Linked DNA regions of Sus scrofa. The protein of the gene in region 1 interacts with the protein of each later gene in a pairwise test. Links are inferred from orthologs where the notes say so. Each region holds a gene or a part of one and is shown on either strand. Other genes may lie near its edges.

Region 1 (4,579 bases):
CAAATGTATTTGATTTTTACCACCATATCACTTGCAATGTTTTGAACACCTACTTTATACCTAGCCCGGAGCTCCACACTAAAAACACCTACTCCTCCTTTTGGGTTTAGTTCTGGGAGTCCCCTGCCACAAAAGATCAAAATTTTGATACAGGCTATACAAGGATGTTGAGGATGTGTTTTTATATAAGAATATAACAACAGTGATACTCCTAACCTTTGGGGGATGGAATGAGGGGAAAAGTTGAGAGAAACCTAAAGGTAACATGTTGAATCACCAATGAGGCGTCTATGGAAACCCTGCCGTCTACTTTTTACCAAGCTCCTGAAACAGGACTGTAGATCCGTTAGTCTGTGAGATTTAATGAATCAGAGGTCTAACCCTAAACGTTTAGTTCCTCAACAACCTAAGTAGAAAAAAAAAACCTTTCTCTCTAAGGTTTTCCACATTACTTTGCTGTGTTTTAATTCCTGGGCGAGATGTACGGCTCTCAGTAGTAAAAACTGCTTAGAACTAGAATGTTTTGACATGTAATGCCAGGGAAGCAACTTCCAGTAAATTGCCTCCAATCAAAGCTAACATTGCTTCTGTAGAACTATGCTCGGACCCATGCAGGATTTTGTTTTTATTTTGTTTATGTTTTTAAACTTGAATCGCAGATGGTTTTCTTTCTTTTCTACCTCTAAAAGGTAGTATTCATTTATCACAGCACTTGTATTGCCACAAAGACTAGGCCACTTTGTCTTTTAGGTCAAACCTGCAGGGGCTACAGCCTGGACAATTAAACTAGAAGATATCCCGGTTGGAGGTAAGCTCCACCTGTTGAGATCGGTTATTTACTAGGCTGGGCTGCTGCATCCCTCCAGGAAACAATGGCTTGCAAACGCTCCCCTCTCTAGAGAAGAGCCTAGGCATTTAACTGCAAACAGCTGCAACATCTGCCCGGCTGGCTCGTCCCTGCCCGTCGAAGGACGAGGGGACCGCACGGCAGCAGCAACTGCACCGCACAAAAGGGAGCGCCTATCCTGAGGAGCCACCGGCCTTCCGCGACCCCGCAGCACCAGGCTGGGGCATCCTCCGAGGGGGCGAGGGCGGCGAGGGCCGGGGGCGAGCCCAGGTGTGGCGAAGGGGAGGAGGGCTTCGCCACGCGCCGAAGAAGAAAGCCTGACTCATGTCGTGGCGGCGGCGGACTCCTGGGAACTGAAACTCGTGATGCTGTTGCTGCGGAGAAAAGCCTCATTACCCATTCCGCAGGCGGGGGGACACCACCCAGGGCGCGTACACCCGAGACCCGGGGCTCCAGCGGCCTCCGCCAGCCCCTCCCCACCGCGCCCCCTCTCCTGCCGCGTGCCCGCGCGCGCGCGCCGGCCGCGTGTGAAAAAGGAGCGGACACACCTAACCTGCGCGCGCCCCGTACCCGGCCCCACCCCCATCAGGCAGAATCTCTCCGGCCGACCCGGATTCGCTCCCCCGGCCGAAACTCCCCACCCCCGCCGCCGGCGGCGGCTTCGGCGCCTCCGCCAGCCTTCGGCAATTTCCGCCGAGACACCCGGAGCTCGGAGAGGCCCGAAGACCCGCCGCCAGATCCGGCTTTATGGCTGCGGCCCTCGGGGCGCATGCGCAGACGCCATCTTCCCTCCTTCTCCTCAGCCTGCCCCCTCCCCCCGCCACCGCCACCGCCTCCTCTCGCCGGCGGTCGCCCCTCCTCCTTCTGCGCTCGGGCGCTGGTCCCTCCTCTGCCGATGCCGCGAGAGACTCGCGGATACGGTGGAGCCGGAGAAGAGCACTAGTAACAACCACCGCAGCCCCCTCCCCGCCCGCCGCCCTCCCTCGGCAGCCACCCACTCACCCGCCCTGTTCGCCGACACCGACCAACCCCACCTCTCGTTCCTTTGAACGGCGTCGGCTGCAGTCGCTGCACCAGCCTGTCTGGCCACCAACGCCGCCGAGAAAGGAGTCGTCGCCGCTGCCTGCGGCCCCCTCCTGCCTGGGCCGCGGGAGCAGCGGGGTGAGGACGAGCCGGCTGCGGAGGAAGAGGACGAGAAGCGGCTCGCACCGTCGGCGCTTAGCGCACGTCCCGCCGCCCTTCGGGGAGGCTCGGGCGCCGGCCCCTTCCTCCCCCAGGACGTGTGCCGAGCCGAGGCGCCTGCCCGGAGGGAGGAAAATGCTCGGGCTCCATGGCTGCCAGTGATGGAGCGGTCCCTGGGCTCCCGCTGCCACCGCCGCCGCCGCGCCCCTGCCGTGCTCCGCGAGGACCCGGCGTCTCTGCGCGCCCGCCCGCGCCTCGTTGCTGGGCTCACCGTACCGGGCGCCCCGCCGCCGCCCCGCTCCGAGCCTCGCCGCGCCGGCCCCAGCCGCGGCCAGCGTTTCCTCAGGGAGCAGCAGCCGCCGCGAGCCCAGGGGGTTTGAAAGGGTCCGCGGGGCGTGGGGGGAGGGCCGAGCGGGGCCGGCGGGGCTGGGAGGGGAGGTTTGAGCGACACTGAGCTCGGGGCTCGCCGGCGGCGGCGGCGCTGGGGGTGGCGAGGGGAAGGCGACACTCGCTCGGCGCTGCCTTCGTGCAGAGCCACCGGGAGGGTTTTGCAGCGGCCGCCGCCGCCGCTGCGGCGGGAGGAGGGGTGGAGGTGGCTTCGGAGTTGTCCGGAGAAGGTGGGCATTTCTCGGCTTTCCCGCCCCCTCCCCTAGCCTCCCCCCTCCCTTGCTCTCCCCCTCCCTCCCGCCCCGCACCCCACGTGAAGCGGAATATAAAGGGGGGTGTGAGGCTAGAGGGGAAAGTGAATGGTGAAGGGCTGAAGGGGTACCCCCTTCGGGTCCTCGGCCGCCCTGTTCACCCTCGTTCATCCTCCCTTCCCGAAGCTCGCCCTCGAAGGCAGCAGCGGCCGGCGCCCTCGGCTGAGGAGGAGTAGGAGGAGAAGGAGGAATCGCGCCGGGTGGAGCATCAGGTCCCGTTTTCCTCCCCGGGCGTCTTGAACACAAAGATTACGGTGCAGAAGGAAATTGCTCGCGCCTCCTCCGCCCCCCGGTCCCCAACACAATGCACCAGCCGCCCGAGTCCACCGCCGCCGCGGCCGCGGCCGCTGCAGACATTAGTGCTAGGAAGATGGCGCACCCGGCAATGTTCCCTCGAAGGGGCAGTGGCGGTGGCAGCGCCTCTGCTCTCAGTGCAGCAGGTACCGGCGTTGGTAGTAGTGCCCCATCTTCCGAGGATTTTCCGCCTCCGTCGCTGCTCCAGCCGCCACCTCCTGTAGCATCTTCTCTGTCGGGACCACAGCCTCCGCCTCCACAAAGCCTGAACCTCCTTTCGCAGGCTCAGCTGCAGGCACAGCCTCTTGCACCAGGCGGAACCCAGATGAAAAAGAAAAGTGGCTTCCAGATAACTAGCGTGACCCCGGCTCAGATCTCCGCCAGCATCAGCTCTAACAACAGCATCGCAGAGGACACCGAGAGCTACGATGATCTGGATGAATCGCACACGGAAGATCTGTCTTCTTCCGAGATCCTTGATGTGTCACTTTCCAGGGCTACTGACTTAGGGGAGCCCGAACGCAGCTCCTCGGAAGAGACGCTCAATAACTTCCAGGAAGCCGAGACCCCTGGGGCCGTCTCTCCCAACCAGCCCCACCTTCCTCAGCCTCATTTGCCTTCCCTTCCACAACAGAATGTTGTGATCAATGGGAATGCTCATCCACACCCCCTCCATCACCACCATCACATTCACCATGGGCACCACCTCCACCACGGGCACCACCATCCATCCCATGCCGGTGTGACTAGTACATCCATTCCCGGAGGGCCACCCTCAAGTCCCGGATCCAGAAAACTCTCGACAACTGGAAGCTCTGACACTGTTATGCCCGCTGCTCCAACTTCTGCTGTATCATCGGGTGGCTCGCCTGCCCCCGTCATGCCTAGTATCCGAGCTTCGAGTACGACGGGCAGTATAGGTATCAATTCTGTCCCTGGCACTAGTGCGATGAATAACGTTAACCTTGCTGCCGTGGGTAGTTTTAATCCCAGCGTGACCAGCAGCATGCTTGGTAACGCTAATGTCAGTGCCAGCGGTATTCCCAGTGCTGCTGGCGTGAGTGTGGGGCCTATAGCGAGCGGTGGTGTCAACGTGAATCTCCTGAGCGGCATGGGCAATGGTACTCTTTCTTCCTCCGCTGCGGTGAACAGCGCTGCCAGCGCCGCTGCGGGGGTGACGGTGGGCTCGAGTCAGCAGCAGCAACCCGCAGTGAACACGTCGAGGTTCCGAGTGGTAAAGTTAGACTCTAGTTCGGAGCCTTTTAAAAAAGGCAGATGGACTTGCACCGAGTTCTACGAGAAGGAAAACGCCGGCCCTCCTGCCGAAGGGGTGGTGATAAACAAAGCGGTGGAAACTGTAAAACAAAACCCGCCTGAGGTGACCTCCGAGAGGGAGAGCACGAGTGGGAGCTCAGTGAGCAGCAGCGTCAGCACCCTGAGTCACTACACGGACAGCGTGGGGAGCGGCGAGATGGGGGCCCCAGCTGTGGTGCAGCTGCAGCAGCCGCCGCCGCCGCCACCACCAGCGGCCCTTCAAGCTGTGGCCCTTCCGCCGATG
Region 2 (3,800 bases), on another chromosome or scaffold:
CGGCAGGTTGGGGGAGGGGGCATCTGCAAGGGGGTGAGTTTCTGGTCCTGGTTTCAGGTTCATATTAGGGAGCTGGATGCCTGGGTCCAGAGTGGGACAGAGAAGCCTCTGAGGATAACAGATCTGGATTCTAGGCGGGTAGGGCTAGTGGCTGTGGGAGTGTCTCACACTGATGCCCCCCCATTTGCCAGCGGGTGAATTTGTAAGCGAGGCCCTGCTAGTCCCTGAAGGCTGCCGGTTCTTGCACCAGGAGCGCATGGACCAGTGTGAGAGTTCAACCCGGAGGCATCAGGAGGCACAGGAGGTCAGGACCTGACCCCCTCATCCTCACTCCCCACTCCCTGCCCCCACCCCAGAAGGCAGGAGTCCAGTGCCCTAACACCCTCTTCCTCCAGAACCCAAGGGTCTGGCCCTCAGCCCCCTCTTCCCACAGGGACAGAGCTAAGAATCCAGGCTCCCAGCCCCATCAACCCCAAGACCCAGGCATCCCGGCTCCCCGTCACCCCACAGTCCTGGCATATGGGCCCACTCTTCCCGCAGGCCTGCAACTCTCAGGGCCTCATCCTGCATGGCTCGGGCATGCTTTTGCCCTGTGGCGCGGATCGGTTCCGAGGTGTGGAGTATGTGTGCTGCCCGCCTCCAGCGACCCCCAACCCATCTGGGACAGCAGTTGGGTGAGTGGGAGGGAAGCCTCCATGCCCAACCCGGAGCTGGAAACCGGGGCCCTGGGCCCAGGTTCTTACTGTCTCGGGTCTTCTGCTCCCCCAGTGACCCCTCCACCCGGTCCTGGCCCCTAGGGGGCAGAGTTGAGGGGGGTGAGGACGAGGAAGAGGAGGAATCCTTCCTACAGCCAGTAGATGATTACTTTGTGGAGCCCCCACGGGCTGAGGAGGAAGAAGAGGAGGAAAAGGTCCCACCCGCAAGCTCCCACACCCCTGCAGGGGTCAGCAAAGGTGAGGCAGCCTCTGAACCCCCAGTCCCCTCCACCCTGGAGGGAGGATGATTTAAGGGAGCCTTAGTGTAGGGGCACCTTTGGGAGGGGCCTGTGGGAGAGAAGCCCTGTTGGGGGGAAGTGGGAGGGCTGGGAATGGCTTTGGATAAAGTACAGGTGGAAGGGCCAGCCTGTGAGGAATGCAAAGGATGAGGATGGTTTGGGGGTACCTGGAAATGGAGGGGCCATTTGGTAGGTCCTAAGGATTATTTGAGGAAAGCTTGGAGGGGGGTGTATGGATTCCCAAGCTTGCAAGAAAAGGCCCAGTCCAGAGCCGTATCGCCCATCACACCAGGCAGCAGCATGGCTCCAGTGAACTCACGTTGGTCTCCAGTGCTCCCTAGGAAATGCAGTTCTATGGGAAGGGAAGGTGACCTGAAGATGGGCTTCAGGCTGACTCCCTGATTCCTGGCCTTGCAGTGACTCCCACCCCGAGGCCCACAGACGGTGTGGATGTGTATTTCGGCATGCCTGGAGAGATCAGTGAGCATGAGGGGTTCCTGCGGGCTAAGATGGACCTGGAGGAGCGCAGGATGCGCCAGATTAATGAGGTGATGATGCTGGGGGCCTCAGGATCCCCCATAAGCAGAACTTCAGCAGGAAAGGCCTCAGGGATGCATTGAGACTACCTCTAAAGGCTCTCCAAGCCCTTGTCAACCCCCCCCAACACCCTCCCAAGGATCCCTGACCCACCTAGGATCCCATTGTGAAGCCACCAGATTCTATGGTAACCGTGGTGCATGGTACGCTTCCACTTCAAATTCCTTCTGGAGTTCCCGTTGTGGTTCAGTGGTTAACGAATCTGACTAGTATCCACGAGGATACAGGTTTGATCCCTGGCCTCACTCAGTGGGTTAAAGATCCAGGGTTGCTGTGAGCTGTGGTATAGGTCGCAGATACGCCTCGGATCCTGCATTGCTGCGGCTGTGGCGTAGACCGGCAGCTACAACTCCGATTCCACCCCTAGCTTGGGAACCTCCATAGGCCTCAGGTGCAGCCCTAAAAAGCAAAATAAATAAATACATACATAAATTCCTTCTGAATCCTCTCTCTTGGGAATCCAAGCAGCAGTGGGACTTCAGGGATAAGGAGACTCTGAAGAGCGATGGGAGGACTCACTGGGTGGAGCAGGGCAGAGTCTAGGATCCTGAAGCTCCACTTGTCCCCAGGTGATGCGTGAATGGGCCATGGCAGACAACCAGTCCAAGAACCTACCTAAAGCCGACAGACAGGCCTTGAACGAGGTAGGACAGCCCTAGGGGGTCCTCATCATGCCTGTCCACCACCTGGGGCATGCTGGGTCTCCGCCTGGCTCAGGCTTTGTCTGGCCTCCTTCAGTTTCACCCCTTCCTACAGATAGGGAGCTCTCCCCACCCCACCCTACACTTGGCTCTGCCCCTCTCGGCCCAGATCAGACCTGACTTTGCCCACCTCCTCCTATTGGCCATGTTTTGCCCTGTCTTAACTTGATCCTAACCTCTTAAGGGCTGGCTCTGGAGTCTTCTTCCGAGCTGGGTCCCTGCAGACACAGCCAGATCCTTCTCAGCCTCTCTTTGATGCTAGGCCCTGTCCCCTGACTCTTGTCCTGCCCACTAATCTCTCTACTACTCAACCCCTCCTCGGGAGGCCCAGCCTCATGACCCTGGGACCCCCTCTCTTGACCTCACCTTGGTACAGCCCGACCCCACATAGACCCCACTCAGGTTAGCCCCACTCCCTGACTCTTGCTGCAGCCCCTCTAGTCTCGTTTAGCCACAGCCTGTCTCCAGTGGGCCCTGCCCAGGCCTCCAGCCCTACCTTTCCTATAATACTTTATCCCTTTTCATGGTTTGTTCCCACCCACACAGTTGACCCCTTCAGCTGGCCTCCCAGCAGACCTAGTCCTGCCCCGACTCTATCTGGCCCTGCAGCCCCAGCCCCTCCAGTCTCCTGTGATCTAGTCCTACCCCAGATTGACTCTGCCCAGACCTGGCTCCACTGCACCACCCTCCCCCTGGGCCCTATAACCTCACTTTTCCAGACTATCTTTGACCCACGTTTCACCCACCCACGCCTCTCCTGACCCTGTGCCCATCCCCTCTGCAGCACTTCCAGTCCATTCTGCAGACCCTGGAGGAGCAGGTGTCTGGTGAGCGACAGCGTCTGGTGGAGACCCATGCCACCCGAGTCATCGCCCTCATCAACGACCAGCGCCGGGCTGCCTTGGAAGGGTTCCTGGCAGCGCTGCAGGGGGATCCGCCTCAGGTGCGGGAGCCGTGGGGGCAGAGGGCACAGGGTGAAAAGCGTGGGGCGGGCCCGGGCAGCCTTCATCCCTTCCACAGCCAGAGCGCATCCTGCTGGCCCTGCGGCGCTACCTGCGAGCAGAGCAGAAGGAGCAGAGGCACACGCTGCGACATTACCAGCACGTTGCTGCTGTGGACCCCGAGAAGGCCCAGCAGATGCGCTTCCAGGTGCTCAGACTCTTCCAGCTCCCAAATACCCTGCTGCCCCTCAGACCCCATCCATCAGACTCTCCTCTTGTCCATCAGACCCTCTTTCCAACCCATGGACCTCCTTCCTGTCCCTGGAACCTCTCCCTTCCGTGCCTTGGGACCCATACCTGTACCTCAGACCCCTACTTCCTGGCCCTGGAGCACTGCCTCCCCCACTTCCTGTTTCTTGACCCCACTTCCTGTCCCTTGGCTTCCTACGTCCTTTCCCAGAACCCTCCTCCTGTGCCTCGAACTCTGTTCCCATCCCTCAACTCTCCTTTTTACCTAACCCCACGTGCTCTCCCTGAAAGCCTTGTTCTGTGCATTCAGATCCTAAT

The links.
Region 2: the proteins of TSC22D1 (region 1) and APLP1 interact in a two-hybrid assay, tested with the Homo sapiens proteins (2 studies listed by BioGRID and IntAct). The link is inferred for Sus scrofa from reciprocal best matches to the Homo sapiens genes TSC22D1 and APLP1.

Annotation. Positions count from the first base shown.
Region 1 is NC_010453.5:22,517,042-22,521,620, forward strand, and holds the start of TSC22D1 (TSC22 domain family protein 1), read left to right. Parts: upstream 1-1,750; 5' UTR 1,751-1,881; coding exon of another isoform or gene 1,882-2,838; 5' UTR 2,839-3,031; coding exon 3,032-4,579. Other genes in the region: atherin-like, read right to left, coding at 1,882-2,838. UniProt on the Homo sapiens protein: Transcriptional repressor. Acts on the C-type natriuretic peptide (CNP) promoter. Acts to promote CASP3-mediated apoptosis.
Region 2 is NC_010448.4:45,288,478-45,292,277, forward strand, and holds part of APLP1 (amyloid-like protein 1), read left to right. Parts: intron 1-191; coding exon 192-304; intron 305-540; coding exon 541-674; intron 675-768; coding exon 769-953; intron 954-1,411; coding exon 1,412-1,542; intron 1,543-2,160; coding exon 2,161-2,235; intron 2,236-3,076; coding exon 3,077-3,235; intron 3,236-3,312; coding exon 3,313-3,441; intron 3,442-3,800. UniProt on the Homo sapiens protein: May play a role in postsynaptic function. The C-terminal gamma-secretase processed fragment, ALID1, activates transcription activation through APBB1 (Fe65) binding. Couples to JIP signal transduction through C-terminal binding.